Ovis aries: one gene and its partners. The protein of the gene in region 2 interacts with the protein of the main gene of each other region in a pairwise test. Links are inferred from orthologs where the notes say so. Each region holds a gene or a part of one and is shown on either strand. Other genes may lie near its edges. The genes, in order: NXT1, STAU1 and LONRF1.

Region 1 (11,392 bases), about 36 Mb from region 2:
CTAGGGAGGGTATGATTAAGTATCAGTAGCATCCTAGATGTTCCATGTCTTGTTTTGTGTGAATCCAAAAGTGAATACTGAGAAGTGTGGTTTCTAAGGTGCTGGGGGGACATAAGGGGGGGGGGCTTCCTATTAAAGTCCAGCATTCCAGCCCTACTACCTGGCCACATCCCTACCATCTCTCACCTCTGTGCTCTCCTGGTATCGGTCTGCCAGTGACTGCTATGAATACTGGTGTACGAGAATCTGAGTCCGTGCTTTCATTTCTTTGGGGTATGTATCTAGAAGTAGAATTGCTAGACCATATGGTAATTCTGTGTTTAACTTTTTGAGGAACCCCCAACTTACTTTCCATGACAACCACACCATTTTCCATTCCCACCAGCAGTGCATGGGGATTCCAACTTCACATGTTCATTGATGGATGAAAACAACTTTAAGCAAGGGATTTTTACACATACAGTGTATTCAGCATGATGTTCTGTTTATCAAAACTCTCAATAGTTTCAAAAAACAGTCCTCAGTCTTCAAGATGTGTGCCCAAATAAAATGTTTTCAAGAAAAGTGTATATGCTAATGATAGGAGATAGGAAACATATGAACAAATAGCACCTTATTTGTGGAAAGAGTTCAGATTCCATTAAGCCATGTATGTTTTAAAAATACATATATCCTCTTATCATGAGCACCACATTTGGATAAATTTAATTTGGCCACGCACATTTTGAAATCAACTTTGCTTCAACACAAGATGTCAAATAGACGGCGCACCACTTTTTATAGGACAATTTCATATAAAATGTAACACCACTGCAATCTTACTTTGTCATTAACAAAGAGCCTAAGTGTTTAAAAGAGCATATTAAGTATTTAGAATTGTTAAAAGTCCAAGCAGACACAGAACCAGGATATGTGGAAAAAGCAGCCAAAATTCTGTGTTCTACCCAAGTTGGTTAGTGTTCAGTGCTGAAAGGACTTCTTTATTCAGGGTCATAATAGCTTTAATGATTAAAGTGAAGAAACTGGATGTGATTATTATAAGTTTTATATTCAGTTTCCTTTAGAAATGCTACCTGATCAGGTTCCAAGGTAGAAATTACAGCAGGCTATTCAAAGAAGCTTTAGAAAATGAAGAAACACCAACAGCCTAATACAAAACAAAGAATACAAATGGACAACTCACATACATGTACGCATGGCAGAGACATCACTATAAAAAGCAATGATAATGAATAGGACAAAGTTTAACCCGAAGTTAAACACAATCTGTGATGCAGCAAATGTTTGCATGGGAAATGCAGTCTCAGGGGAATAGATATTTATCTCCATGTAACCCCCTGTAGTCATTCTGAGGAAGTGGAGTGAACAACTTTCAGGTAATTATTATGTTAGTGAAAATTTGGAAACAACCTACTTGCCCAAAAGGAGACAACTGAATATACCCATGCATTGGTTTATTATGCAGTCATTAAAACAACGTTTTAAAAAGTGTTTAATGGAACTCGTCGTAATAATTCCATAATGTATATGTTTATCAAATCATCATTGGAAAGATGTTTGCGGAAACCTTCACTATACTGAAATGAATAAAGGAGGTATGCTGTTGTACCCAGGAAATGATCTGATTTAAAAGCGAATCTTTGGAACCAGACCGTAAGCAACTCCCCACATCAAATTCTAACCTGCCCAGGGAGGGTAGCCGGAGCTGCCCGCCCCGCCCACCGGAGGCCGCCCGCTCCGCCCACCGGGCGCTGACGAAGGGCGGGGCTGGAGCCTCGGTTTCCATTGGGTCCTCTGACGTCGCCCGGGATGCTGTTGGCCTCCCTGCGTGCGCCGGGATGCGCGGCTTAGTGGGACTTGAATGGGCGGAGGCGGATCGAGCGTCCGTGCCTGGGGCTCGTGGCCTCGCGGTTTGGGTTCAGGGTGGGGGCCCGGCCCTGGGGCCGGGCAGGGGTTTTCTAGCGCTGTCCGGCTGTACGATCTGGTTCAAGTGGGCCAGACCAAGCCGTAGTGGGTCAGCTGGGGCTGTATCAATGAGATCAGGCACGTCTTTACCTGCCTTAAATTTGGGCAGCGTTTCCAGACTTTAACGTCTCACAGGGCCAGGTGGTGATCTGTAATAAAACACGCCCCCCCCCACCCCCGCCTTTTTTTCTTTTCCCGGAGAACCCAGGATGTTTCAAAGCGGTATCTACTTGGATACTTCACTGGTAGGGTCTGGCTCAGGTCGGGACGCTCTGGGGCGGGAAGTCACTCTTCGAGGTGTCCGCAACTTGAATGCCCCTATTTCTTGCTGTGAAAACAGCCTTGATTATTAAATGAGATTTTAATTTAAAAAAACATGATGCGCACACTGTATGAATATCTACAAGGACATTCGGCATCAAGTGCCTTGTCTCCGCGTTAAAACTCTAGAACCCAGATCCTAAGGACAGCCGTACTTAACGTTTTTGCCAGTCCTTCTAGTGGTCCGTGCATACAGGGCAAGCCTATATGGAATCTTTTTTTTAAAACACAAAGCGAGTTTTCTCATTTGTAAAACGGGGCTGAAAATAGTGCAAAGTATCTTGAGCTGTTCTTGGGATGTTGTTCTTCCTGCCTGTAACAACTGTTAATACTCTACCAAGTATTTGAACTTCAGAGACTCTCAAAGATTTTTCATATTTGTATCACAGACAGGTCTACCTCTTCAAGCCCCCTTCAGAGGGGCTGTGAGCCCCTGCTACACTGAAGTGCAGGCCTGCGTGCTAGCTGCACTAGCGAAGACCCACAGAGCAAGTGATGTCTGACCTAGCTCTCAGTGGACTCTCAGTGGTCAGAGAGCAGCTGATGTCCTTCAGTGGGGCACCCTGGTGACATGTGGCACTCACTTGTAGATGAGACAGTTCTGCATTCACCTAAAGCCCCTCAAAGCCTCAAGGATTAGAAGGCTCTGTGTCTGGACCCTCCCTCAGCAAGTTGGTGCACCTCTAGTCTCCTGAACCAACCTCCGTCATCAGAGTTTGTCATGAGCCTTTGGAGGGGAGCATTCTGTAAGAGGAGCTGGCTATCTCTGAACCTGGATCTTTTTTTTCTTGGGGCACTGCAGTGGGTTTTCTGAGGCCTCAGCACTGCTTAGTTCATGTGTGCTAAGTTGCTTCAGTCCTGTCTGACTCTTTGCGACCCTACGGGTTATAGCCCTCCAGGCTCCTCTTCCATGGGATTCTCCAGGCAAGAATACTGGAGTGGGTTGTCATGCCCTCCTCCAGGGAAATCTTCCCAACCCAGGAATCAAATCGCCTTTCTTACATCTCCTGCATTGGCAGGTGGGTTCTTACCACTAGCGCCACCTGGGGAGCCCAAGACTGCTTAGATCTAGACTTAGAAAACAGACCTCCTGCAGTGGGAGGTTCTTGCTCCCCTAGCAACTCTGAGCCCTAAGGACCCTGTCCACTCTCTGCTTGGCTTCTCCCAGAGGCCCAGTGATCCGGCACCTGAGACACTACCCCCCACCCCTGCACCGACCCCACCAGCCCCCCACACACACACCAGGCTCTGTGTTCAGGCCTGCATCTCAGCCTGGGGCACTGACCAGGGCTTGCCCTTTAGTACAGGCTGCCACTGCCCCCCACCCTCTGTACACAGCCACCATACAGCCTCCTGCCCTGTCCCTCTGTCCTGCCAGCTCCCAGTCCAGTCCCCAAGGTCAGGCCCCTTTTCCTCTATCAGAGGGGAGGGAGATCCTTCCTGACATGGCAGCAATGCCCACCTTGCCTAGCCATCCCTGGTGGATGCCATAGCCCAGGGCTAGAGGTCCCTACCATCTGTGCAGCCTACACAAGTCCCCCATTCCTAATCCTAACCCACACCTCCCAGCCTGACCTTTGATCACAGATTTACCTGGGGAAGGCACATGTCCACAAGAGCTCATCTATTAATCAAAGGATGATGGAAATGGCTCATTTTTTCTTTACTTTGGAGAAATGGGGTGAGCTGGTCCTCAGGGTCAGTAAAACCAGCATCTAATTCTGATGCCCCCCAGCCCCACCTCAGTACTTCTTCCTCTTAAAAGCAGTTCTCTTTGTAAGGGAGTAGTCAATGGAGCTTCCTTGTTTACAAGCAGTTATTAGCTAACTCCAGGTATCTTACCTGTTTTCATCCATGTAACTCCCAGCACAGGTGCAAAGTCCCAGTGTGGTCCAGCCACCTAGTCAGGGGGTTCTCTAAAGTGTTTTAATAGACAGCTAGGGGGCTTTTGTAAAATGCCAAAAACGCTCAGGCCCACCCTCTGAGATTCAGTAGTTCAACCAGGATGTGCGCCTGGTGATTTTCGAAGAGTCCCAAGGGTGTCCTCTGTGTGTGCGGCAGCCCTGGATCTCAGTCTTTGCAGTGCCTTCTGCTGGCCTTGCAGCTTTAACCCTCCTTCTCCTGGGCCCCTCTCCCCAGTATCGCCCAAACACATCCAGCAAGGGGAAAAGAAGCAACATTTTATTCATCAAAATTTCCAGAACCAGAGTCTCTCCTGGGCAAATAGAAAAATAGAGAATTTTACTACTTCAAAAAGGCAACTGTGACAAACAAGTGTATGCCCAGACAGGGGCCCCTCAGACTTGAGCGAGCCCAGGGTTCAGGCTTGGGGTGTCCCACCACCCCACTAGCAGGCCCAGTCCTGGAACCGGAAGCAGTCGCTGGCAATCTTCCACACTGTGTTGCTGGGTGAGGCCTGGGCCGTCAGGATGAAGTTCTGGTTGAAGTCTCGCTGTTTGTTGCCCTCAAACTTCACTGTCCCACAGATCACCACAAGGACCGTGGTCTGGCTCGGGGTGGCTTCGTCATGGACAGGCTGGCAGTCTACCACGTTGATCTGGAACTCACTGGAAGGCAGCATCTCAAAAAACTCACTCAGGGACTCTTGCCCGGAGACAGCGTTGCCGTTCCACACCAGGGTGGCTGTGCCCATGTACAGGCGGGACAGCAGCCGCCGCCGCTTGTCCATGGTGCTGTAGTACACGTTCACGAACTCCTCAGCTGCGCGGCACGCCTGGTCCACATAGGTCTTGAAGTCCACGGACGCCATCAGTGGCCTCGCCAAGGGAGGCCTTGGCCCAGGTGCCTCCTGTACCCGAGGGGGCGGAAGGTGGAAGAGACCTTGTGTGAATGCTGATGACCGTCACGCCCCACAAAGGACCAGTCCTCCGACTGAGGCGAAATTCTGGGCGCCCCCTGCTGCCGACGCCTGGTCCGGCTGGGCCCCAGTTTGCTCATTGGAGACAGGAACATCCCTACCTGTGCATGACTATGACTGCAGTGCAGGATGAAGGGAAGCAGGGGACACCGCACACTCAGTTAAAAAGCCTGAGACCCATACGGCCAGCAATGACAGCTTATTACTATGAATTTTAACAATGAATTTCTTAACAACTGACTGTGGGAGGCTGCTTTTTCCTGGAAGCATGGAACAGCTGTGACTGCCCTCGTGTGTCTGGTGCAGACACCACACTCTGGAGAAAGGAACAGTGGCCCAACGAAGGCTGATCCATCTATCATGAGCTCACCTACTGGGCCTGGGAAGGTGAAGAGAAGGCAGGTTCCGTAAGAGGGCAAGAGAACAAATGTCGTTGAGGACAGGACAGGACCAGTACTGGTGGCCACAGTTCTCACTATGGGCTCTATTTGAGGAGCAAGGCTGGAGCTGACTGGAATGAGTGACGACTCAAGAGCTCCAGGGAGCACAGGGGAGTCCTGTGAGCCAAGAAAGGACAGGCCAGACAGAAGAAATTCTGTGGGGTGAGGGGGTGGTGACAGCAAGGAAGAATTTTAGCTGTAGCCAAAATGAAACATTTCCTTAAAAAAAAAAAGAGTCCAAAAGCATAAGGAAAAATTATTTGCTTTTTTTCCCCAAGGTATACAATAACTATTGTAGTTGTATTCTTTTTTGCCTGATTAAAATATTTCACTACACAAAAATCCAACAGAAGACAACATTACTAAAATATTGGATGCATTTAGATTTACAAACTTAAGTATTTTTTTATTTCAACGTTGTGCATGCATGCTCCGTAGTGTTCCTTTGACTCTTTGCGACCGCATGGACTGTAGCCCGCCAGGCTCCTCTGTCCATGGGATTCTCCAGGCAAGAATACTGGAGTGGGTTGCCATTTCCTTCTCTAGGGGATCGTCCTGGCCCAGGGATGGAAGCCGCCTCTCTTATTTCCTGCACTGCAGGCGGATTCTTTATGGGGATGAGACATGGGGAGAGTTTAACTTAAAAAAAAAAAAAAATCAGCTTTTGAAAGAGAGAAAAGATCCCACGCAAGGTTAGGAGGGAGTCAGGGAGAGGAAGGTGGAGGAGGCCAGAGCCTCCAGGAGAGAACTGGCCAGGGGTAGGAGCGGGTAGGCGGGGAGAGCTCCAGCCTTGAAAAGAGCGCTGAGGGCCAGGCACCCACGCGGGTCCTGCCACCCCCTCGGGGCGGGGGTGGGGCCTCAAGTCCAGCCGCGCACACACTCACTCCAAACTATACTTCCCAGCGCTTCATATACACCCCGTCCTTCAATAGTCACCGCAAACTGATGAGGCGTTATGGTAACAACTTCGCAACGAGGAAAGAAAACCCAGGTGTGGACTAGGTCGAGGGTGGACACGGCCCTGATCTGTCCTCTACTAGAATACGCTGCCTGCCCGGACGGCGCGATTGTCTCACCGGCTCCTGCCTCTCTGGGTCCAGTCTGGGGGCGCAGGGTTCCAGGATGGCCAGTTTGTAACCTCCCCCTCCGGGCCCATCGCCCTCGCTGGACACCACCCCCTGCACCCAGCCGAGCCCCCATCTGCTGGCGTCCACGCCGATCACCGGCATCTCGGGCCGCCGCGGCTCAACCAGCTGCCAGCCTGGGGGTCCTTAGGGAGCGGTCGTTTCTGCGGGGCTGCAACCGCCCCAGACTCGCGGCGAGACCAAGTGGCATCCTCGCCACTCCGGGGCCACTGACGGGGGGGGGGGGGCACCTCCTACGTACGCGGGGGTCATCTACCAGACCCGGGAGCGCAGACCTGCGCAGGGGCACCTACCTGCACGGGAGTGACCGCCCTGCTCAGTGCGGGAGATGACCGCGTCAGCGAGGGGCTCAGTTGGGCGGGCAGGTGAGGGGAAAATCACCGCACGGGTCGGCGTGGGCGGCTCCGTTCACGCGGCTACGCGGAGCCCCCCGTGACCGTAGGCCAGGCCAGCCGAGGCTCCGCGGTCCTCTGCAGCCTGCCCAGGCGGGCCGGGGAAGAGCCGCCTCCGCCTCACCACTACCTCCCAGGACCTGCCGGGTCCAGCCAGCGCCTCTGCGGGTTCCCGCGCGCGCGGCCAGCCAGCAACGCGCAGACTCAAGCGCCCGGCCCCTTCCCGCCCCGTGACGGACAGCCGTTTCAGCCAGTGGGGCTGCCGACCGTAAGGCTAGCCCCGCCTAAGTGTGGCACGGGTAGGGCAGCTTCCGGGAAAGGCAAGTTCCCAGAAGACCGCTCGCTCGAGTCTTCATTGGTCTATAGACGTAGGCCCGAGGTTAGGTACGGCCTCTGATTGGACGAAGCCTCGCAGATCCCCTGCTCTGGGGCGGGGTTGGGCGGGGGCTCTGGGGCCGTCTCGCGGCTGCGCTGAAACCTCCTGGCACGGGTTAACTGACGCTGCCGCCTGTTCTGGGTGTGTTCCCCTTGGCAATGCCAGGGCGGTTCTTTGCCTGCTTTCCTAGGGGAACGCTTGCTCTCAGAGTTCAGGGCCAGTTTAGAAAGTGGATGGGCTCTTCAATATAGGCTACCACCCCCGCCATGAAAAATGTGGTTTATAAACAAATAAATTGCAGGTTGAGTAGAACGTTTGAATTGAACTAGCGTCTTTGGAACCTTATGCACAAGACAATGTCTTTACAAAGCCCAATCCAGTGAAATGGGAATTTAATCTACAAAACTCCGAATCCCAGCATCACTAGCATGAAAACGAGAGTTGACCTCCTGCATGCCCACTGGGTTGGATGTCGCTTTTAAGTTTCCGTATGTTTCCCATGTAAACCCGTTTCATTTCATTCTCATAACTTCAGGAAGGCATCATTATTCCTGATATAGACTAGGAGGTCGAGAGACAGAAATTAAGTGACAGTCTGGAGTCACAGAGCCTCTTCAGTCCTAGAAACACTGGTCGGGAGGATATTTAACCAGCCCTAGGTTCTGATGAAAACAAGAATTTAACCCTGAGAGGCAGCCCAGCCAGCAACAGGAAGATGGGAGGTCCGGAACTTTCAGATTAGTCTCTACCATCTAAACTGTGCCTGATCCACAGCAAGGGGTCGGTAAATACTGTTTGAATGAGCAGACAGGGTTCAAATCATTGCTCCACAACATTCTAGTAAGCTTCCAAGCAAGCCTGTTTTATACTTTCCGGTGCTGCTTGAGTTTAGAAAGTTAGACACACTGCTGGCTCTAAGGCAGCAATTCTAGGGTGGTGGGCTGCCTAATTAGGGCCGCTGAAGCTAGAGAAGGAGTTTGCCAGGGGATTTTGGAAAAGATGCTATTTCTCTTTTTCCTTCTGGACATGTGATGTGCGGTGGTGCTGCTCCAGCCATCTTGCTCTGCTGAGGTGGGCACCCTTGTACCATGAGGCAGACAAGAAAGAGGGGGAGAAAGCAGACTTTGATGACTGTTGGGAACCAAATCAACCCTGAAGTTTAGCCTTTCTAGTTTCAAGAGTCAGTATATTCCCTTTATTATCAGTACTGCTAAAAATTGGGCATAAACAAACACAGTGTTAGTTGTTCAGCCGTGTCTTACTCTTTGCAACCCCATGGACTGTAGCCCACCAGGTTCCTCTGTCCATGGAATTCTTCAGGCAAGAATACTGGAGTGGGTAGCCATTCCCTTCTCCAGGCGATTTTCCCAACCCAGGGATCGAATCTGGGTCTCCTGCATTGCAGGTGAATTCTTCAGCAACTAAGCTATCAGAGAAGCCTATAAAAAAACCTACTTGTAAGTTAATTAGTGTGGCTTCCTGCACTAGCAGAGTGATTCTGCAAGTAAGTTAACCTTCTTGAGGTTCAGTGCCTCATGTGTAGAAGAGGGACAGTAATGCCCTCATTTCCTTGGGTCACGAGTGACTGGAAGAGGGTGTCGTCAGTGCTTAGCCCAGGGCCAGGCACAAAGCAAGCATCCAGGAATCATCGGTGTGCTTTGACATTTTGCATTGACAACAGCTTCCTTATTTGCCAATGATCCTTCCAACAAAGAAGGCTTTTAAACTTGGAACAAGTGTACCAGCAAATTGGTGGGATTTGTCACCAAACCACATGGGTGCCTTCTGGAAGATGATCCTGGCTTGAGCAGCCATGGCGCCAGTGGCCTATTTGCCTCATGGAGTCTGTCCAGGGAGGAAGGACGCAGCTGGTCAGACGTGCTAAGCTGCTGGCATCTCTGAAGACAGGCTGGTATCCTTGGGTCTCTAAACCTGGTACCGAGCTTCTCCCCTTATTGGCATGGTTCTCTGCTGCAGTATCTGATGGTGTTTGCTTGATAAGGCTGCGTGACTTGGAGCTGATCTCCTAGTGGTCCACGACGCTGTGGGCAGTTGTGCCTGCGGAACAGGATGACCAGCACCATCATGTGCTGTTCTCTCCCTGCTACTGCCACCCCCACCCCCTCACCACCACCCCCCACTAGAGGAACTATTAAAAATTGAGCATAAACAAACATAATGTTAGTTGTTCAGTCATGTCTTACTCTTTGCGACCCGATGGACTGTAGCCCACTAGGATCCTCTGTCCATGGAATTCTTCAGGCAAGAATACTAGAGTGGCTAGCTATCCCCTTCTCCCACACGCCCCCCACCCACACCACTGGAGGAATCATCCGAACTGCCGCTGGCCCAGAGTGAGCCGGGACTGCATTTCTGGAAGGTCACTTGGGACCTGTCTTTTCTGGGGGTCCTAGGAATGCAGGGATAACAGGAGTCCATTAGTTTAGGAGCTGAGCTGTGGCCAGGGGCCCAGAGGGGAGGTGTGAGCAAGAGAGAGGTAGGGACGGAGAAGGGGAGCAGGCGTGAAGTGTGTGTGCACACAGCTACACATTCACCTACACAAACACACACCAGAGAGGAAGCAGCAGAACTACAGAGGAAGCAGTCCTGGGAGTGGGCTGCCTTAGGAATGGATCCTCCAGTTCTGGTCGGGCTTCTGGGGCTGGTGTGGCTCAGGACAGACATGTGCCTCCCTGCCAAGCCCTACCCTGGTAGGTGGCAGACTCCTGAACAAATAAATGGCTGGTCCCCTGTGATGCACCGAGGATCATGTGGTCTATTGTGCAGCACTCTCGGAGGCCCACTGAAGCCCCGTCCTGAGGCCCAAGGAAAGCCTCTGGAATAGCACCTCACAACTGTGTGACCTGGTGGGCCACTTGCCGCTAAAGGGACCCTGAAGACAGGGCCCCTCCAGGCCTTCCACAGTGACACCGCCTCAAGGAGCTACCCACAGTCCGAATTGGCTCCCTCCTCATCTCTGAAATTGCACCCAGGTGGAAGTTTGTTCATCTGCAGCCCGAACCTGTGTCCTGGGGACTAGAGCACCCCGTGAGACCAGCAGGGGCTCTGAGGGAGCAGGGGAGGTGGGAGCCATGGATGGGGCCAGGGGTCTGGAGCCGCGACCAGGACCAGGGGTGATGGTGGATGATGTGATCTGAAGGGTCTGCGTTCCCATGAGAAAATGTCACTGGGGGGACCAGACATGGCCCGTTGAGCACAGCTCCCTCCAGCAGCACTGCCCATGTTTGTCCCATAAGCTTTCCACGTGCTTCGGTGTCGCCCACTGGGCTGCTGGATCATAACCAGGCTGGCCTGGAGCTTCCTTTTTCTTACGGATGACATTGTACAGGAGGCAGGGATCAAGATCATCCCCAAGGAAAAGAAATGCAAAAAGGCAAAATGGTTGTCTGAGGAGGCCTTACAAATAGCTGTGAATAGAAGAGAAGTGAAAGGCAAAGAAAAAAAGAAAAGATATACCTATTTGAATGCAGAGTTTCAAAGAATAGCAAGGAGAGATAAGAAAGCCTTCCTCAGTGATCAATGCAAAGAAATAGAGGAAAACAATAGAATGGGAAAGTCTAGAGACCTCTTCAAGAAAATTAGAGATACCAAGGGAAAATTTCATGCAACGATGGGCACAGAAAGGACAGAAATGGTATGGACCTAACAGAAGCAGAAGATAATAAAAAAAAAAGTGGCAAGAATACACAGAAGAACTATACAAAAAAGATCTTCACGACTCAGATAATCATGATGGTGTGATCACCAACCTAGAGCCAGACATCCTGGAATGAGAAGTCAAGTGGGCTTAGGAAGCATCACTATGAACAAAGGTAGTGGAGGTGATGGAATTCCAGTTGAGCTATTTCAAATCC
Region 2 (10,593 bases):
TCCATTTATATTTAAACTAATTGACTGGACCCACATTTCTAGAAATCCCAACAGCCTAGAGCCTGGCAGAGGCTGGTTTCTATTTTTAAAATGGCTTTGGCCTCCACCTGACTACCACCCCAAAGTAGGGCAGGGAAATGAAGACCTCCAGTTTGATCATCAATCTCTCCACTAGTGTCTTAAGACCTCAAGCAGAAGGTTTTAAATGCATGGCACTTTCAGATTTCAACTAATATTGCTCTGCACCTGTATACCAAGGCTATTTACAAAGCACATAAGTAAGTTCAAAAGTCAGAAAGTACCCAGTAAACAATAATCAATAAATCTGAGGGCTGAGAACTGTGGTGTCGCAAGAATCATGTTCAAATATGACTCAGTTGCACAAAGCAGTTACATGGGTGGTCTTTAACCAGATTGCTTGGGGCTCGAGCTGTACTGCTTGTGAGGAATGCGCCCAAGACCTTTCCAATGACAGGAGTTCGAAGAGCATCAAAATGCAGTTCCAGTGACACCAGGACAATTCAGACTGGCGGAGGCCTTTGGCAGGCAGAAGAGGACCAGACCATTATGCATTCTACAATCTATACACCTTACTATTCCACATGAAAGAGCAACTATACTTTCACCTGGATTTAAAACAAAACAGACACGTACCTTGGGGGATAAGCACCTCCTCTCATGTTGTAGGTATAGGTGGACTGCACCCGAGAGTAAGGGTCGACAGGCTTATACATCGGTTTCTTCCCAAGTTTCATGCACAGCGCATTTAGCTCTACAGTAGGGGTTATGCTTTCTGCAACACAGAATCAAAACAAAGAACTTTTCTTCCTGAAATGAGAATGACACTCACTAAAATCAAAAAGAATAGCATGCTTTCTACTAATGGATTCATGATGCATTTCATGAACGGCTCTAAGTACTTCACTGCTAGGCATCAGGTCAGGAAATCCAAGAATCTGCTGTGATTTGTAGGTATTAATACACAACAGCACAAAATATACGGTAACGGCTATTGACGAGCAGCAATGTAACACAAGATGTTAGCAGTGAGAATCAGTTGTCAGAAATAGGTTCCAATACACATCAAATTTCATGATTAAAAGATCCCACAGGACTGTCCAAATCATTTCATTGTTTGGCAATACTCTACCAATATAACTCTGGTTGTACTGACTGACTGGCTTACACTTAGAAGGACATCCATACACATTATTTCATAGGACAATGCATTTATTCAGTACTATCTGGAGGCAAAGCACTGTGCTGAGCTTGAGAAACACAATTCTTGTCCCAGAGGAGTCCAGAGAACACAAGACACACTTCAAGAACTCTGATACAACACTGCGTGTGCTGTAAGGAGGTGCAGAATCGCCGAGGAGAAGACTGTGAATTCTATCTGGAGAAGTCAGATGGGACCCACAAAATACTTAGATGTTTTCTTTCTTAATGTTTATAATGGGATTTGATTTGTGGTAATACTTGTTAGAAAAAATGAGTTCTGTTTCCATATACAACAGGAACAGGTATATCTTAAGTTACCTCAAAATTATCAATTTTAGAAAATACTCATCATTCATCCTTCTCTTTTTCCCCCTCTAAGTTCATCCAATTCATAAACCTTTAAAAATCATTTAAAAAGAAAACCAACCTGGAAAGATTGGACCTGGAAAGATTAGCATCAGTGCACAATCACATTTACAATCAACAGCTTCATATCAAACACAGAACAACACTAGCAATGGCAAAGTTCAATTGAAATGCACACAAAAACCCACTTGAAAATGCTTCTTTAGGATGTAGGTAGAAGAAAATAAAAATGCCTTGATTCTGTACCATAACTGGTTTCACTAATCTAGTGCATAAATCAAACTTATAATACCACCTTTGAGTCTGCAAGTCAAGAGGGTCACATGAATAATTAGGCTCTTTTTTTTTCTTTCTTAGCTAATATATGAACTATATTTTTTCCACAATTCAAATAGTTGTGTTTTAAGTAAGAGCAGCTCTGACCCATAAAATTTATCTGCAGTAGAGTATAAATGTGAAGCAAAGATCCCAGAGAGAAAGCGAAAGGAAGAGAAAGGCGTGGCCGAGGCCTTCCCAGGTGGTTCCTGCATGCAAAGGGCCAGGGTGACTTCATACACTTGAGAGGTGACTCTCCTTAGACAGCCACTACTACCTACAGCTGCCAGGTCGGTGGTCCCCAAGCTTTCACAGGACACTCCTCTTTAACAGTATTCTCCCCAACTGGGACCCTTGCCTGAAGAGATATCTATTAATCTGAATTTAAGAAATAAATATCTATTTTCTCATTTTTGTTAACAATCAAGAGACGTAAAACTGATAATCGGGGTTACAATCAACAGGTTATAATCAATATTACCACACAAAGTTGAAGTGATTTTAAATAAAACCTACATTCTCACAATCTATACAACCCTTATCAAAAGAAAAAAAAAAATTCCTTTCATTAAGCTTTTCTGAAAGTCTCCGAAATCGTTTGGTGACATGCCCCGCCTCCCGTGACCACCTCTCCAGATCATCAGGCATCAAGGGGCTGTAGATTGGGAACCACTGCTTTAGAGTAAGGCTAAGATTCCGAAAAGATAAGCATTTGCCACTGGTAGTGCAGACTCTGTGCTCTCAAAATCAACAAGTCAGTTAAGAAAGAATTCATATACATACTAAACGGATATCTCTAGACACACTTTTGAAAGGAACCTGTCTTGGCCCACGCATAATACCTGGATTTCTTCCTTCGCTACGGAAAGGGCGGACTATAGGTTTAGGAAATTTTGTTCTTTCCAAAGCTTTGGCAGCAGCTGTGTGTTGGGCTTTTTTAATACTAGTTCCTTCAGCTTCCCAGTGCTGATCTCCAAGTGTTAGCTGTACTGTAAACACCTACAAATGAAAATTGTGAGCTCTCAATTCAGGAAACCTGATGTTGACTAAAATATGTCACTTGGACCTTGAACATAATTTACGGTCATGGTTTAAAAGGCCTGGTCATTATCTCTGTAATTTATCCCTTCATCCCCCTTTTCACTGTTTCTAGAAACATGAGAAGATACATACATCGTCGACTTGTACTGCATAGCACTCCATGAAAAAACATCTTTTGAAAAAAAAAAAGAAAAAACATCTTTTGAAAGATGGGTATAAGTACAGAAATTTAAAACTGTTCTCTTATATATTAAAATATTAAATGCTAATTATCTGGAAGCCATCCAAATAAAAACTGTCTTCCCATTTCTTCTCATGGAAGAAGTTTAGCAAGCTTAATTTAGACACATAATAGTACCTCATACAAATGAAGACAGCATTTGTTGTAATTTGTTCACTGGTTCTTGTCTGAAAATACCTCATTAGGCCAAAACCTCAAATGAATTTGGGAATGTCATTATTACAATGCTACCTTTTACTTTCCTAAGACTGTACTATTCAGACACTGCCCCCCCTTTCAGAAGATGAGATTCACTGCAAGCAAAGATCTAACAACATTCTGAACTCAATTCTAAGGAGGCATTCAAAAGAGCTAATTTTGCCCTTAACAACTGTGGACAATGACAAGCCTCTTTTTTCCTTTTTAAGTATAAAGGGAACTTGTGTGCACGCTCTATTCGTAAAGTTAGGTTATGTTAATCCCATCAGAATTGGACAAACAATTCATCCAAAAAACACTAGGACCCACCACAGCGCAGTGATTCTTTAACACTTGTGTACATCTGAAGAATAACCCAGGAAGCCTGGTGAAATACACGTGCCAGGAGTTTTGACTGAAAAGAACAGCATGAGGGGAGGCCTGAGCCTGTGTATTTTTAATAAGCTCCCAAAGTCATTCTGATGCACTTCAATGGTTGAGATTCACTACTTTGGAGTTTTTATTCTTCTGATTTTCTTTATCATGGAATCTATCACTTTATTTCACTTACAAATAATTCACAAGAGAAATGGTGATTTGAGTATGTCCAGGTCATTTAAATTTGGTGCCTCAAGGGATGGGGCCAACTTGCCTTTAGAGCTGATTTTTCTTGTAGGTCTTAACTTCAGGATTCCCTCAGCGCACAACTTCCACTAAAGGGCGAAAAATTAAAGAATCCTTCACCCCCCTTGAAATATTAGGGGTCTCCTGTATTTATGCTGCAGTTCATAAAGTTACTCATTAAAGCACTGATAGCATGAACGCAAAACCCTGACTAGCACAAGAAGTCAGACAGCAGAAGCAGCCTGCAACGCTGTGCAACCCCTCAGTCATTTTTGTGATCCTTTCATGAAAAGACATCGAAGGGGGAAAACGCTATAAGACAGAAGAGAGTTAATTTCACGGTCAGTCTTGCCTTTCTCCACGACTGTCCCGATGGTGCTGCTGCCACGATGCTGCCTTCTGTGCGGAGGGGCAGTGGTGAGGTTAGATCTCGGTTCAGAAAGAATTAAAAGTACACCAGACCTCTGACTTTTGAAATAGTCTAATAATCATCTAGGAGGGAATAAATTTTTCTCTTTGAACAACTTGTAGGCAAAAAAAAAAAAAAAAGATACAGACTGAACACACAGCCAAATTACCTAAAAGGTACCAAAGTTCAAGTGAGATAGTACATATTTCCAAAAATACCAAAAACAGTTAATAAAGGGAATCCCAAAGTTAAGATCTGCAAAAAAAAATCCTGTAGAAGAAACAGAACAGTTATCAGAGAATTGGCTAATTGCCTTCTAAAAGTAAAGAAATATTTCAAATATAATTGTGCTTTAGAATAATATTAAAACTACCTTCATGAGAGTGGGAAATTCCTGTTTTTCTTAAATGTATAATTGCTTAATTGTAATAGCTACCATTTCTCAAGCATTTACTACATGCCAGACACTGCGCTCCATACTTTGACATATATTCTCACAATAGACCTATTTGGTAAGTACTATTATCTCCATTTTACAGATGAGGAAACGGAGTTTCAAAAAAAGTAGTAACCTACACAAGGTCACCAAGTTAGTAAGAAGCTAAGATTCAAACCCAGATCTGTCTGACTCCAAAGCAACTAACCAAAATGCACTTCCCTATGGGGCCTGTTCGTGATTGTGGTCAATGCTACTTTTAGTCCAAGAAAAAAGAGAAACCTGGTATCATTCAAGGTTTGAGGTTTGCATGTCAGGAAAACTGAGGCACAAAGAGACAAACAACTCTTCCTTATAAAACTATATTATCTTACTTCAAAGCTAGAATCACAAATAGGCCTAATTCTTTATCTCTCATACTGTAGTTGCAAAAGATAAAGCCAGATACACAAACATTTAGGGTCCAAGCACATTAGCACAGATATCAAGCAAGCTTAAAAGTCTGAACTCCTGAAAAACAAATAGTAAAAATTCAAATTACAGTCAGTCTTTCATCCTCTAAGATGAGAGTGACAAGGGTACCTAAAATCAGAGATAATTCCATGTACTCACAGGGAGATTGATTTCTGCCTCTCACATTCAAACCCTATCTGATTCTGAACAAGAAGCAACACTGACTTCCCATTCACCTCCTCTCCCTGCCCTGCCCAGACCTAAGGTATCTATGCACGTGCAAACGAAAAGGAAAGGAGCCAGACGGAGGCTGCAGCCAGGAGGCCCAGAGCCCAGAAAACTCACAGGAAACCATTCACAGGTGCTTGGGACTTGTCTTGCTTCAGAATCCTAAACAACCACATGCTAACTGAAGTTTTAAAAGCCAAATATCCCCCAGAGAAGCATCTCTTTCGTTTGACCCACTCTGCAAGGATGGAAAAAAGAAGTGACTCGCCCAAAATCTGTACTTCTGCATCTCTTTAAAACAACCTCAGCAGTTTCAAATGTGTTTTGAATCACCGCACCACTTGCAACTGTATGAAAAGAAAGAAAACATTCCTAGTGGGTTATAAATGCACAAGCAGTATGGACAATATTTACCTTACAGTGAGCTGGACCTTGCTCACGCAAAAGTTTATACTCAGGCTGAATCTTGTTGAAACGGGCTAACTCATTCACAAGACACATTGGGGTTTTCTCTTTAGGGTGTGCCATGTTAGGAGGAACTGAAAAATAATGTGAGAGCGTTGACGTCAACTAGCAGTGTTAGAGACGGCGGCTCTCCAGGGCTATGAAGAGAGGGAAAACAAACGCCACATCTAATGATTTAGAGCAACAGCGATGCAAAACTGCAAACCACACTGAGGGCACATATCTGAAGACACAGCTGGGATCTTTTCTGAACCAGTTGAAGTCAGGTTACCTAGGAAGGGGTGTGTCTTCAAAAGAGAGAGAATAGAAGTCAGAGGAATAACTAAACCATGGCAAGCACGCAAGATTTGAAATCGGATGAAGGACTGCTATTATAACCAAGGAAATAACAAGGAGGTCTTTTGAGCAGAGACACATACACACATTAGTTAGTACAACAGTTGTCAGCTGTACCCTGTTCATTATTTCACAAAACGCAATATGCCAATACCATTTCTCAAACGACTGTCTTTTTCCAAATAGCTAACTTCTCCTTCCTGGGGTATCTTCTCATCTTATCTCCAGAGGCTGCCATCCTCAGACTTTACCTATCTTTAATAATTATGTAAGTAAAATAAAATGGTCTTGGATGGGAGTTTTATAAAGTCAACAAAATGTGGATATAAGAACACATTAGAAGAGAACGCAATTAAATCCCAGAGGACTGAACTAGTCCGTGCCATTTCCTATTAAGATGGTATTCAAATGGCAAATATGGGGAACACTGAACCTCTAGGGGACTATGACAAGTCAAGAATGCCATCTGGTGAGCTGGTCCAAGGAAGTCTAGAGGTAGCAGCATGATAAGAGTCTGCGCAGCTGAGAGTGGGACAAGTTAAAACTCTAAGAAGAGAGATACAAAGTAAAGGAAACGAGAGGACAGAGGAGGAAATGCAAGGGAGATGTCAGGCACTAAGGGCTGAGAAGCATTTATTACAAGGTGACTCCAGTACAGAGACACCTATGCTGACACCCCCTTTAACTGGCTTTGCAACTTGGGATGAGATCGGGAGAACTGGGGAGCAGAATATTGTTTTTAAGGGTTATTTCCCCAGGGATTGCAAGTCTTTTCTAATCCATGGATATTTTTCATTTTTGTTTTCCTAATATTCAAATTTGAGGGTTTCCTTTTTAAACATCTCTGCTGCTTGGTTCAATTTCTCATTGGCCCTCACTGTGATTTCTCAACTACCTCTGGATGGCAACTTAAACTTACTTAGTCAAAATGAAAATTAGCAAATGCCAACACATTCTTTTGCGTCCCAAAATCTGGCTGTCCCCTTGCTTGGGATAAATCTTACAGACCTCCAAAAAGGGTACTTACACCTACAAATCAGTTCTGGGAAATCATTTTAACAGCAGAATTTTCCCATATAACAATGAATATCCAAAGTGGTATTTTTTTTCTGCCAGCTACCAGTTTATAACAGAGTAGGCTTTATAGTTTGGTTTCTAATTTTCTTCCTTACATTTTGAAATACTCTGTAAAAGGTCTCTTTCAAGCCAGTATATCATCAAGTGTGTTTTATATCTGGTATAAATAAAGAAGTGTGGGTGGTATACTTCCTCCTGCTTCTTGAAGGTAAATGTGCAAGAGCTCCCTGTATCTGCAATCTACTTATCAGGTCGGAAAACAGGCTAAGAAAACATTTGAAACAGAAGACACTTGGATCATACGCTTACCTGCAGCTGCACTGGTGGATGTAATAGATGCAGAGGGTAAAGCAGAGTTTTGAATAGGTCTACCTGCATTTTCAGAGGGCAGAGAGCTAGCAGTAGAAGGAATACTCATCAAAGGCTGTGAGAGAAGAGACTGGTTCTTGTTCAGTATTTGGCTCCCTGAGAGAGCAGCAGATGGGTTCTGAACTTGCACTTGAACTTGAGACATGGTCACTTTCAACAAAAGTGAACAACTGCAGGTAAACAGCTCTCAGTGCAGGTTAATTCAGTGCTATGAAGTCTAAAGTTCTACCTGAAAGTTGTAAGGGAAAGAAAATAAAAAGATAAATTATAGAAGAGATATGTAATTGCCAATATTCAGTCAAAAACTGGTGTCACCTACTCAAGTATGAAAACAGCCCGTTTAGTCTGTAACTGTGATGTACAGTAGGATTCACTAGCTTTATGAATTTCTCAGTGTTTTTTTTCCCCCACAGTGTTTTAAAATACTTACAATACCCACATACCCTGCATGTTCATTTTACAAAAAGAATCAGCAAGGTATAATACTACTTATTGTTGAATATTAAGAATTATAAACTATAGCCTACATTAAAAAATCAAATTAAAAACATGAAGAGGTTTTCCACTGAATATGGGATATGGTAAAGGTTTCTGGGCTCAAAATGATAAGAAACTGAAAGTAAACTGGGTCTGTAACACCATTACTGGTGAATGTAAACACTGCTTCCGTTTTCTTGGCCATGTGCTCAGAATGGCGCCTTTGGAGCTCTCCTTTAAGTTGACTGAAGAAAGGGAAGAATTCCTCACTCTTGCCATTTCTTTTTCCTAATGATGACACAAGGCCTCTTTGTTCTCCGGTAAGGTTTGTTTGAGAGAGTCCCCTTTACTTACAGATTACAAACAAGAGCTGTTGCACCCACAACCATGGCCATGTATCCTCAGCATAGCAAAGAACATTCTATAGTATGTTTATTGTTAAAAGCAAAAGTGGAGAAGATGCAGAAGAGAGGAACAGATTTCAGGCTGACGATTTTACTAGCATGGCTTGTGGGGGAAGCAGAGAAGATTTTTACTGTATCTTGTAAGTTCCAAAGGTATTAATTCTAAATACATTTAAATTTCTTCACCAGTCAAAAATAAGGACAGTTCTGCTCATTTTCATGGCCATCATTCAAAAAGCTGAAAATGTTTAAGCAAATCAAAACTACTCAAAAATAACCATTAAGCAACAAAGAACAGAAAAAGCCAAGCAAGGCAGAAACCATCAAACTAACAAATTAGAAGTTCTACTATAAAGTAATTTGTTACTTTCATTTTTTAAGTCTCAAAATGATTTTTAATTAAAGCCAAACTTCTACAAACAGATGAATGACCAGATAAGTTCCTTGAAGTCTTGGAACATCCTCCCTTGTGGAGAGCAAAGTGAAAAAGTCATGTCCGACTCTTTATGACCCCATGGACTGTATGACCCCAGGAGACTGCCAGGCTCCTGTGCGTGGGATTTTCCAGGCAAGAATACTGGAGCGGGTTGCCGTTTCCTTCTCCAGGAGATCTTCCTGACCCAGGGATCAAATCCTGGTCTCCCACACTGCAGGCAGACTCTTTACCATCGAAGCCACCAGGGAAGCCCTTTGCAGAGAGCAAAAAGGACTACAAAACTGACAACAAGGCAAAAATCAGAAACAAAAGCACCCTGGCTAAACTATGACTTTGGTTAGTAACAGGTATAAATATTACCTTACACGACAAAATTCTCCAACATTACAGTTGTTCCCCATCTACTTTTGAAATCAGAACAAAACAACAGAGGAGATCCACTGAAGATCTGGGTAGTGGTCTTAGTAGACAAGTTGCCAGTGTCAAGCAACAAGTCCAAAACCTTTTAGAAGGCAGCTATGACCTTTCATTGTTCAATCAGCTGCCAAAATATAAATATTTCTCTTTTAATCTTCCCCTCCTGCTCTTACTCATTCTCTCCCTCTCTCTCAACTCTGTCCTGAGGGCATTTTTCTACCCTCCCCTGCAAAAAAAAAAAAACCACTGAGAGTTGTACTCACAACTTCACAACACCAACCAGAGATCACAGGTCCAAACATAAGCCAAAAGCACAGTGCTTGCTCCAGAGTCTATCTGCATCCCAGAAAGTGAAAGTGAAGTCGCTCAGTCATGTCCGACTCTTTGTGATCCCGTGGACTGCAGCCCACCAGGCTCCTTTGTCCATGGGATTCTCCAAGCAAGAATAATGGAGTGGGGTGCCATTTCCTTCTCCAGGGGATCTTCCCGACCCAGGGAAGCAACCCAACTCTGCTCTGGGTGGCTCTTGAGAGTCTGAGACCGAATGAACTAACTTTAGAAAGGGTGGGGCCCAAAGGGATCTTTGTTGGCTAGCTTCTCTAAGGCAGGCCCACTGCCAGCATTTCCAGTGACAGGCATAAATTCATAGGTTTGCTAGAAGTTGAGATAAGAAACAAACAGGATATTAATTAAGACCGCCCCAAAAATGCTAACCTCAGGTACACCTGGAGGAGTTATATCTTTCAAACAACTGGTTGAAATAAGTAGTTCAAAACTGCAGATGGAAAATATTTTAAACCCCAATAAGGCTCTATATTTTAAATTTTTTTAGTTTGTAATATGACCAATAAAAATACAGCACAGTACTCATTTTAAGTCATTTACTAATTTAACTTTTCTATGTATCTTTAAGCCTGAAAATATAATCTAAAGAAGTAGTTTTAAAGAGGCAATTTTGCTCCCCAAGGACACCTGACAATATCTGGAGACATCATTTGGCCATCGCATCTGGAAAATGGGAGAACCTACTGGTATCCAGTGGGTAGAGGAGCAAGGGTGCTATTTCTAGCATATATATGTGCATTCACAGAATAAAATCTT
Region 3 (10,593 bases), on a different chromosome or scaffold from region 2:
ATTGTTAGATGTATAGGTACTTCAGAAATCATGGGGGTCTGATCCCCTCACCTCAAGATGAAGCAGCCAAGCGTCAGGATCAAGGGACGTGGCTCAGAAATACCTGGTGTGGCCAGTTCCAGGTGCTTGACACACTGTTCCCTTGCCTCCACCACAATTTTTATAAATGGAAAATGTTCTTTCCAAATTATCAGTCTTAGAATTACAAGCATTCACATAATGGAAATCCTTATCCAGTGTCACTTAGAAAGAATTTTGGAGTTAAGATACATAAACAAGACAATCACATACACACAATACATCACTGTATTCTTTCCCAAATCTAAAACCATGGAGTCTCAGTAATAACATGTATAGCTTTTACAGTACCATTCCTCAGATACTTTCTATATTTTAGTCATTTGATTCTTTTAAGACTTAAATATAGCATGGTGGTAAAGAATCTGCCTGCCAGTGCAGGAGACGTGAGAGATGCGGGTTCAATCCCTGGGTTGGGAAGATGCCCTGTAGAAGGAAATGGAAGCCCCCTGCAGTATTCTCGCCTGGAGAACTCCATGGCCAGAGGAACCTGGTGGGCTACAGCCCACAGGGTCGCAGAGTCAGACACGACAGAGAGGCTGAGCACTTGTGCACGCGCACACACACACAAATCCTGACACCACCTTCCAAGTGAAAAGTCAAAGTTAGCTGCTCAGTCATGGTAAAGAAAGGGAATGGGCCCACCAGGGAAGCCCCTTCTAAGTAAGGAAAAGCTAAATAAGGGTCAGAGATTATATTATTTGCCCATGATGTGAAAGGAAAACCAAGGACTAAAATTCTTATCTTTTGGTTTTTAATTCACTACTCTGTTACTTCACATTGCTTATTCTTAGAGTTCAGTTCAGTCACTCAGTCGTGTCCGACTCTTTGCAACCCCATGGACTGCAGCACACCAGGCTTCCCTGTCCATCACCAACTCCCAGAGTTCACTCAAACTCATGTCCATCGAGTCGGTGATGCCATCCAGCCATCTCATCCTCAGTCGTCCCCTTCTCCTCCTGCCCCCAATCCCTCCCAGCATCAGAGTCTTTTCCAAGCAGTCAGTTCTTCGTGTCAGGTGGCCAAAGTATTGGAGTTTCAGCTTCCGCATCAGTCCTTCCAGTGAATATTCAGGACTGATTTCCTTTAGGTTAGACTGGTTTGATCTCCTTGCAGTCCAAGAAAGTCCAGTTCTTACAGAGTAGATTACCTTTATCTACTCTGTACTTATTTATTTACATTAATATAAAATATTCATCTCATAAAATTTGACAAACTTACCTCATACAGAGAGAACACTCAAAATCTGAGACATCTATTAATTCTTCTGGGACATCACCATAAGTTAATGAAAACGTACAGACTTCAGTGGGAATTTCTATTAAAACAAAGAGATGGGGTTATATTTTTTAGGAAAAAATTTGGAAGCCATTCTGAATAAAACAATGTGTTTTCTGTGAGTGTAGTGAAATTTTTACCTCCCTGTCTTTTCAGCTTATTTCTTCCATCTTCATTTACAATCACATCCTGGTCTAAAAGAGACAACTTTCTTTTCAGCAGAACACCTTTCTCTTGAATGCAAAGTGAGGGTTCCGAGGACACTCTTTTTAAACAGTCCTCTCTGGCAGGCATGTCTGTTGAATTTATAGCCTGTGCTGACCGAGCACGGTTTAGGCTTCCTTTGACAGGCTCTGAGGTGACCTCTGCTATTTCTTCATTCTACAAAAAAATGCAACAAATAAGGGTAACTGACTGTATGTTTTTACTGCCCTTATTGCTCTCGCCAAGAACCAAACTGAAATGAAACTGTGATGTCTTGAAAGGTTTATTTTATTGTTCATTTAAAACAAAACCAACTTTTAATGCTAAAACCCTGGCAAGTAAAGGATTTTTGTCAGTACTTAGAGAGACCTGGACATCAAGCTGACTTCTATCATAATGAGGTTTAAGTAGTTATGCTAATATAGTTGTTTCTACTACAAGGAAATTAAGATAAATACAATGTTCTGTTTTTTTCCAAGAGACAAACGTTTCTGACATTCAGGTGATGTAACATTGTGACTAATGAGTAGGTATGTCACATGAAAGTTTTTAGTGTAAAATAAAAGGTCACAGATGGAATCCTATTAAGATAAGCCTTACTAAGTTAGTACCTACACAGATTTTAGTATTAATATTTGAAACTAGGAAAGCGAAGATCTTGTCAAGAAAATGGATACACTAAGCCTATGACCGTCTCTTCTCACCCCTTACCTGCTCTGGGCTCAGCTCACTGGCAGAGTGAGACTCTTCCATCACTGAAGGAAAACTGAAAGGTTTGTTTTTAATACATGGTAATGAATTCCAGGAAGAGTCCTTCAGGCCTTCTTTTAAGTTTTCAGGTGACAATAAATCACATAAAATCTGTAAGGAAGGTATCATAAAGAATAATGAAAAATATAAAATATTTTATTAAGGATAATTTAGTTACTTAATATTTAAGAGGGCTTCTCTTGTGGCTCAGCTGGTAAAGAATCTGTCTGCAATGTGGGAATCCCTGGGTTGGGAAGATCCCCTGGAGAAGGGAAAGGCTACCCAACCCAATACTCTGGCCTAGAGAATTCCATGGACTGTATAGTCCATGGGGTTGCAAGAGTCGGACAAGACTAAGCGACTCTCACTCACCTCACTCATTCAATATTTAAGAATTTCTGGAAAATTTCATATGGAGTATAAACTATAAAAATATCCAATCACTGTTGTACACTTAAAAATAATATTGTAAGTCAGCTATACATCGACTACAAAAAAGAAAACTTAGAGCTAATATTATTTTTAACGGGCAGGGAGGGAACAGGTTAAGCAAAAAAAAACAAGGACTTCCATGTTGATTTTAAAAGTCCTGCCAAAACCAAGGTGTGCCTCCAAGGGGGTCAAACCACATCAAAGAAATGGTTCAAAAGGAGGGCTCAGGGGTGATTAGACTAGTGGTGTGAGAAGGTGCCCAGGTATATATATAAGGTTTGTAGAAAGAAGAGATCTTAAAGAGAAGTGGGAAATATTTACCTCTGACCATCAGCAAGTCCCATCCTGTCAATATAGTTAATGGTTCATCCCAATGTATATTCTAAGGCTGAACTTAGACTGTTTATGTGAACTTGGACCTTTAACTACAGAACTAAAATTCCATGTGTTTACAGTGAATCTAGCTTCTCCCTGAACCAGTGACCTGTGTGGTCAGTCACCACCCCCGGCATTATCGAGGGCACCCCATGGCAGCCGGCCCAAACGGAGGCAGCTACAGTATCTAAACTCTGGGTGCTTCTCTCAGAAATACCTCAAACTCTCCAACAAGGGGATGACAACAGAGGAACAGACTGGCTACAAGGAAATGAGAGGGATTCAAATTTGTTTGCTTGTCAAATAAGCTGTGTGTATATGTACAGCATATACACATTTCTTAAAGTCTCAATTTGGAAGTTTGGTTTTTCAGCTGTTCTATCTGTCAAGGCACAAAAGTCAGAATTTTCCACAAATCTTTATAATGTAAATAAAAAGGAAATATACATGGTATTAATGGAAGTGTGTGTCCCTGTAGGTGCTCAAGCAATAAACCATTTAATGAATAATCACTAAAGAATTTGGATATGTTTTTATATTTCCCCGATTAAAAAAAAAAAGGTATTAAACATACCCTCACCCTAGAAGACAGTTACTTGACTCCTAGGTATTTACTGAAGAGAGATAAAAACGTATGTCCACAAAATGACTTGTAAAAGATTGTTCGTGGCAACAATTAGAAACAATCCAAATGAAAATCACCACTAACTGTATTTATCACAAACTGTGATATGTTCATACCACAGGATACTTGGTGAACAATAAAAAAGAAAAAAAGTTGCTAGATGTGTCTCAAAAACACGTTGAGCGAAAAAAGAGTATATACAGTGTATGTGAAGGTCCAGAACAGGCAGAACTAGTCTGTGGCACTAGAGGTCTGAGCAGTAGCTCCCTCTGGAAGCACAGAAAGAGGAGATCTGCTGCAGAGGAGACGAGGGAGCTTTCCAGGGTGATCTGAAAGAGTCTGTATCTTGACTGGGGTGTTGTTCCACGTGTACAATTTCTCAAAACTCACTGAACTATAAAATGCCTTTTATTATATGTAAATTATACCACCATTTACCCCCCAAAAAGAAATAATATTTCAAGGCTGTGGGTATTTTGCATTCACTTGACCTTATTAACCAACAAATAATTACAGGAAAGTAAGGATACCCAGCAGCATGGAAAATGCAAAACTATAAGCCCTTATAAAGTCTGCAGTCTCACCAGGGAGATCACTTTAGCAAAGAGAGCACAGTTAAGAATACACACAACAGTAAACCATCTTTTGTTAAATCAGTGGCTGGAACATGTATGCAAACAAACTTCATGGAGGATGTTGGCTTATTCATAAAGCATTTGGAATGCAAGAAAAATCCCAAAGTTCTCTTACTTTAAGGTACATAAGAATCTCCTGAGGTGCTTGTTAAATTATACTCTAATTCCAGAGATTCTAATTCCAAAGGTCTGTGGTGGGACCCAGGAAATCTTTGTGTTTACCATGCACCCGAGATGACTCTGACAAAAAGCCATGTTCTGAGCAACACTAAAAACGCAATTAACGCTGTGGCCTCTTTGGGGGACACTGAAGGAAACAACATGACTGGGCACTGAAATTTTATTAGGATAGATTTTCCCAGAACATTTTTCAGAGACTCTAGTCTTCCCAGATGTTCTGTGAGTAAATCTGGCAAAAGCTGAATGCTGTTGTCATGCTAGCAAAGCAAAAACTCTTGAGAGGGGCTGAAGAAATCTGTTTGATTGGTTTAACCCAGTGTTTCCCAGAGTCATTTGATCAGAGAACCCCTTTTCCTTTTAATTAACACCTACCACTGAACAAACTCTGGAAAGTGATGTATGGAGTACTGAGAAAATTAAGGCAAAATAAATTGAGTGGGGCAGTACTATTGGCAACCACGGAAAGCAAGCAAAGTTGAGACCTGAAATGAAAGGCAAAGGAAGCCAATAAAAATTCCTGAGCAGGAACATCATGACAACAATGTTTAATTAGGAATGACTGGTCTGGCTCCCATGGAACAGACTATTAGAGAACATCTAAATTTAACTAGGCGAAAGTAATGCATTTAACTCTCTCTGAAATGTTCTGATTTGGGTAAGAACTCAATATGCTAATAAGCATACTGAACCTGAAAACCCCTCATCAAACTGCTACTAAATCTGACTTATGGACACCCCTTATGTCCTTACCCCAAAAGTCTAGCGGGCGTTTGCAAAAAGACCTGTGTTGTCGGGAAACTGGCTGGAAGTGTTAAGAGTTGTTAAACGGATTACCTTTTCTACTTCTAGCTTTGCAGGTGCGAAATCTTCATCGAGCGCTAAGCACTGAAGAAACAGTTGTAAGGCATCACCTAAAAAACCAGCATCGTGGAGGACTTTTCCTTTCCTGAAGTACACCTTCAATAAAAGCACACATACCCAACTTTTATGGATGGAATTGTTTTTTGAAACATCAATATCACGTAAGGTTAAAAATAAAAGTTCTGCTTGGAAATGTTCATTTTGAAACTCTGAATGACTCTCAGGAGCCCAAAGCATTTTACAGGCACATTTACATCCTACCCGGGATAGGCACCTATGATTATGAGGTCCAGAAAATGACTCCAAAGCCACATTTCTAATTATATCCCACCAATGGTAAGTCCAGAGGATTCTTTCCTGTTTAATGGTTTTAAGAGCTTCCCTGGTGGCTCAGTTGGCAAAAGAGTTCTGCAACGCAGGAGACCTGGGTTCGATCCTCGGGTTGGGAAGATCCCCTGTAGAAGTGCATGGCAACCCACTCCAGTATTCTTGCCTGGAGAATCGCACGGACAGAGGAGCCTGGTGGGCTACAGCCCATGGGGTCTCGCAAGAGTCAGACATGACTTAGCGACTAAACCACTGCTGCCACCAAAGCTGTCTGTACAAATCATTTTCCCTCGTATTCTTAACACTGATTTGACTTGTACCAACTGATCATGTCATCATGAGATTCTGAATCATTTTCTTTATTAATTTATAAATTTTAGAGCATCCTTACTATACAGTCCTCAAAGGCATAGCTTTGAATGCAGAAAAAAAAGTCACATTAAAAGATGATTTTTAACTTAAATAACATACATGGGAGATGGATTGATTTGCCTTGACAGTATTGGTAAAATGGAGAATTCGTAAACCGATTATATAATACATACATGCTGCAAATCTTTTTTCAAAAGACCATGGGCAAGGCCCCCATCTACCGTACTGAACGACTGCCTCATCACCCAGTTCCCGTCACAATGCCTCAGTCAGCTGTTCAGCCACAGAAGCTCTTCTCTCTCCTTTAATAAACCTCCTCCACTGATAACTTCTTTGGGTCCATCTCCACAATAGTACATCTTTGAGGAAATGCTGTATATTAAATTCTTTTTTTTTTTTGTCCTGTGCCACGAAGTCAAGTTGTTCTCTAGTTAAGAAACAAATGTTTCTTATAGTCTAAAAAACTGTCAGATGATATTCATCCACTCAAAATATTGACCTCAGACTTCTAGAACTATTCCATATATTTAAAAGAAATCGCCCAATCCATTTCGTTGTGACTTACAATCATAATTGAAATGCATATTCCCTACAGTTGAACTTCTTAAATGCATGCAAATGTAAAACAGTAATTTTACCTCAGGCCAATTTGGCAGCTGAAAGAGAACTGCATTTAAATCTTCTATGGCTGCTTTAAACTCCTGGAGGCCAGCATACGATTCAGCTCTGTAGATTTTCAGAGTCAAGTCGCTGGGCTCTGAAATCAATGTTATGAAGGCTTGATTATTTTTAAAAGATTACTGTATAATCCACAGAAACATACTAAAGTAAGAACTGACTCAGCGATTCTAGTCAATAACCACTGACGCAAAGGCAGTGAGCCAAGCACAGTACAGGTGCAACCCACTGGCATACTGACATTTCTCTAACTTACAGCAAATCCTTATGGTTAGATTATTTTAGTGGAGGAAACTGATTTTTTTTTAAAAAACTGAAAATATTTTGATAATATGATCACCCCTAAGAAACTGAATGTTTTCCTAACATAGGCAAAGATTTAGAAGATGTATCTCAGATGTTTAGAAGATTTGTCTTTTTGTGGTAAACCTTTTTTTATATCTGATTTTGAAATCTTTATAAATGACTACATGTGTTAACTACTGCACACAGAATTCCCATAGTTACAAAGACTGACCGAGGCACGATCTTATGAGAGGACACGGTGGTCCTGTTTCTGGAGGAAATGGGTTGACAAGAGTCAGGTTTCTTAAGAGGGAAAATTTTTTAAATTCCTGCCATTAATAAGAACAGGATTGGATGGCCCCAGAATGACTTACTTTCAAATATTTGAGGGTAAAAAGCTTTAGGTGATAATTTCACTATGCTCTCTGTCTCTACTTGAGAAACCGAACTCGTATCCAAAGGCACTAAAACTTCAGACGCTTAGCTGGTTCACTGATGGTACTACAATCAATTCCTACAGGTCACGTGGGATCTAGGAAGATGCTACAGATGAGCCTATTTCCTACAGACTCAGATGCAGAGGATGGACACATGGGCGCCAGAGGAGAGACAGGGAGGGTGGGACAAACTGAGAGGTCAGGATGGACATAGATACACTGCCATGCGTGAAACTGCGTGTGGGAACCTGCGGAGCGGCGCAGGGAACTCAGCTCAGTGCCCTTTAATGACCTGAGGGCTGGAGGCAGACCCAAGAAGGAAAGGATTTTGTATACTTATAGCTGCTTCACTTCAGTGTATAGCAGAAACACAACACTGTAAAGCAATTATATTCCAATAAAAAAAGGTAAAAAAAAAAATTACTACAGGTACATGGATTCTGAAACTGAAGTGTAAGCCAGAAATCAATTTTCAATTATCTACAGATGACATTAACTTGACTCTTCTTTTTAAAGCTATTATTCATCTTTAAAGGCTTCCAAAATGTATGCTTATAAAATACAGCATTCGTTGTGGGAAGGGCATAAAGACCTTACCACCCACCGTCCTGGGCAAACAAAACAAAAACTATAATAAAACTCCTTAATAGCTTCCTTTACTCTAGTTTTTAAATGATTGCTTTTTTACAGATAACTCTTGATTTAACAATTAATCAGACAAGCCTTTTCTAGTTGTTGGTACTTGAGAACTCAAACTGTTACCTCAAATTTATACCAATGAAAAAATTTTAAGAATAAAATTAGTATTTCATGAAAATAGTTCTTACTTCCTAAGCAGAAAAAGACACGTCTGGAACATTTCATCTTTCGTTTCTTAAAGCAATATAATTGTAAATCATTATCTGAACAAAAACTCATAGAAACTGAAAGCTCCATGTGATTAATCAATCAAGAATGAGGAGTCTCAGCACCAAGATAGATAGATGCTGGAGGGGTTTCAAAGATGTTACTTTCTCCTTTTCTCTGAGGAGCTTACAGTCACATTAGGAAATCCCATTTTCTTGTGAAATGGCATCACGTGGTCCTGACCAGACAAGCACAACTGGAGTCCGGGAACCAGGGAGCAGCAGGTGCCCAGCCGGTCCAAGGAGTGGTCACCACAGCAGCGTCCAGCTCCCTGAGCTGGAGACGATGGGGACCATGTCGGGCACAGCTAGGGTCCTGCCAAGAGCACCCCTAGGACCCGCCTGTGCTCCGGCACCTCCAGAGAGAGGGGCTTCAGTCACAACCAGCAGCCCCCTCCACACTCGGATCCCTTACTGGATTGCTTTTCTTCTCACGTGTTTCCTTTTACAGCAGGTCCCCCCACACAACCCTGGAGGTAGTGCCCACGGGGACCTCGTGAGTACCCTACGCTCTGATCAAGGTCTTTACCGCTTGGCGCTAAAGCGCCAAGCTTCCCCAGGGCAGTGCAGCAGGAAGGGGCTGGGGAGACCTCCATCTTTACAGCGCCAGGTCAGTCCACCATGCTCCTCCCCTCCGAGGATGCAAACAAGGAGCTCAAGCTACCCAGGCTCCCTGGAAAGCTGGTGTCTACTGGGATGAGAAGCGTGGTAGACCTGCGATGGAGATGACAGGAGGGTCAAATCTTAAAACTCTTGTTCCCCAAATCCTTGTAGGTTCTGTTCTTACTGAGCATTTCACATACCAATGGAACAGTGATTTTGACTGACTGTTGGGGAGGGGGGAGCCTCATCAGTTGAGTTCAAACTCCCAGAACATTATTAAAGAGATTAGGGCCACCCCACTTGTTTCCTTCAAGCCCTTCCTAATTTAAAAAAAAAAAAAAACAAAAAAAAACAAAAAAACCACCAATGCATGATTGAAGCCCTCTGAATAGTATATGGATACAGAACATCTGCCCTCTGTGTCCACTTGTGGGAAAGGCAACTGCAAAAAAAATGCCATCAGCCAGGCTGTGTCATTAACTCAAGTGTTTAACAGGCAACAGATATTTATGATCTGCTCCGGGCGAGGTCCCGCGGACCCTGGGATGAACTGATCACCCCTCTGCACGAGCCACCGGGGAGGGCCTGCCCCTCAATCCACGGCTGCAGGTATGCAGTGCCTGGCGCATCACAGACTCGGAAATATAAGGATGTGCCAGGGCCGAGTGTACTGGGCAGGATTTAATTCCTACCTCTTCTTTTTTTTCACCCTACCTCCAGCTGCATCAGATTTCCAACAGCCAGCTGTGCTTTTCCTCAGGCTCAGTACACTTCCCACACCTCAGCACCCCCAAAAGGATATGTGTGCTGCACTGTAAGTAACACTGACTGTCCAAATCTAACCTTTACCACAGTCAGTTTTACCTCCTCTAGTATTTCCCCAATCCATCCCGGGTCTTTTCCAATCCAATTGCTAATAACAACGTTTTGAAAGCCAAAATTAAGCTAAGACTATTGTAACAGCTTGCTAACTGCACACCCTGCCTCCAGTTTTATCTATACGTACCTCACCATCCACAGATATAGTTATTTAGCACAACATCCAAGTTCCTGCGTGCCTGGGTCCTGCCCATCTCTCCAGCCTTATTTCCCATCAATATGAGCCTCCCGGTGAGTCCCAAGAGGACCTAGCTACTCAGCCCCATGCACGCCTTTTTCTACCTCATGCCTCCTTCCTTTTCACAGAGCTTCCTCCTTGTGAGACTCCCCCTACGCAACTCCCCTCTGTCTGGACAACTTTTTCTGATCCAGTAAGACTCAGCTCACCAACCTCTTCTCCAAGACGCTTTCGTTTGCATCTACTGCCACTTGGCATTCCAGAAGGATTCAGAGCCTGGAAGCCAGACAGCCTGGCTGCAACTTCTGCTCCTCCACTCACTCACTGTGAACTGGGGCAAATTACCTCTGTACCTCAGTTTCCTCAGCTATAAAATCTGAGTTTTTTTCCACCTATGGTCAACAAAGGACGCAAGACTATACAGTGGAGAAAAGACAGTCTCTTTAATAAACAGTGCTGGGAAAACTGGACAGCTGCAGGTTAAAAATGAAATTAGAACACCACACATAAA

What was found.
Region 1: the proteins of STAU1 (region 2) and NXT1 interact in binary tests that used the Homo sapiens proteins (3 or more experiments, as listed by UniProt). The two-hybrid records come from large-scale screens. The link is inferred for Ovis aries from reciprocal best matches to the Homo sapiens genes STAU1 and NXT1.
Region 3: the proteins of STAU1 (region 2) and LONRF1 interact in binary tests that used the Homo sapiens proteins (3 or more experiments, as listed by UniProt). The two-hybrid records come from large-scale screens. The link is inferred for Ovis aries from reciprocal best matches to the Homo sapiens genes STAU1 and LONRF1.

The regions. Positions count from the first base shown.
Region 1 is NC_056066.1:41,576,430-41,587,821, reverse strand, and holds NXT1 (NTF2-related export protein 1), read right to left. Parts: upstream 7,348-11,392; 5' UTR 7,043-7,347; intron 5,096-7,042; 5' UTR 5,057-5,095; coding exon 4,634-5,056; 3' UTR 4,447-4,633; downstream 1-4,446.
Region 2 is NC_056066.1:77,265,881-77,276,473, forward strand, and holds part of STAU1 (double-stranded RNA-binding protein Staufen homolog 1), read right to left. Parts: intron 7,988-10,593; 5' UTR 7,904-7,987; coding exon 7,699-7,903; intron 6,051-7,698; coding exon 5,926-6,050; intron 2,902-5,925; coding exon 2,745-2,901; intron 794-2,744; coding exon 655-793; intron 1-654. UniProt on the Homo sapiens protein: Binds double-stranded RNA (regardless of the sequence) and tubulin.
Region 3 is NC_056079.1:23,414,696-23,425,288, reverse strand, and holds part of LONRF1 (LON peptidase N-terminal domain and RING finger protein 1), read right to left. Parts: intron 6,875-10,593; coding exon 6,756-6,874; intron 5,515-6,755; coding exon 5,392-5,514; intron 2,422-5,391; coding exon 2,272-2,421; intron 1,738-2,271; coding exon 1,497-1,737; intron 1,397-1,496; coding exon 1,300-1,396; intron 1-1,299.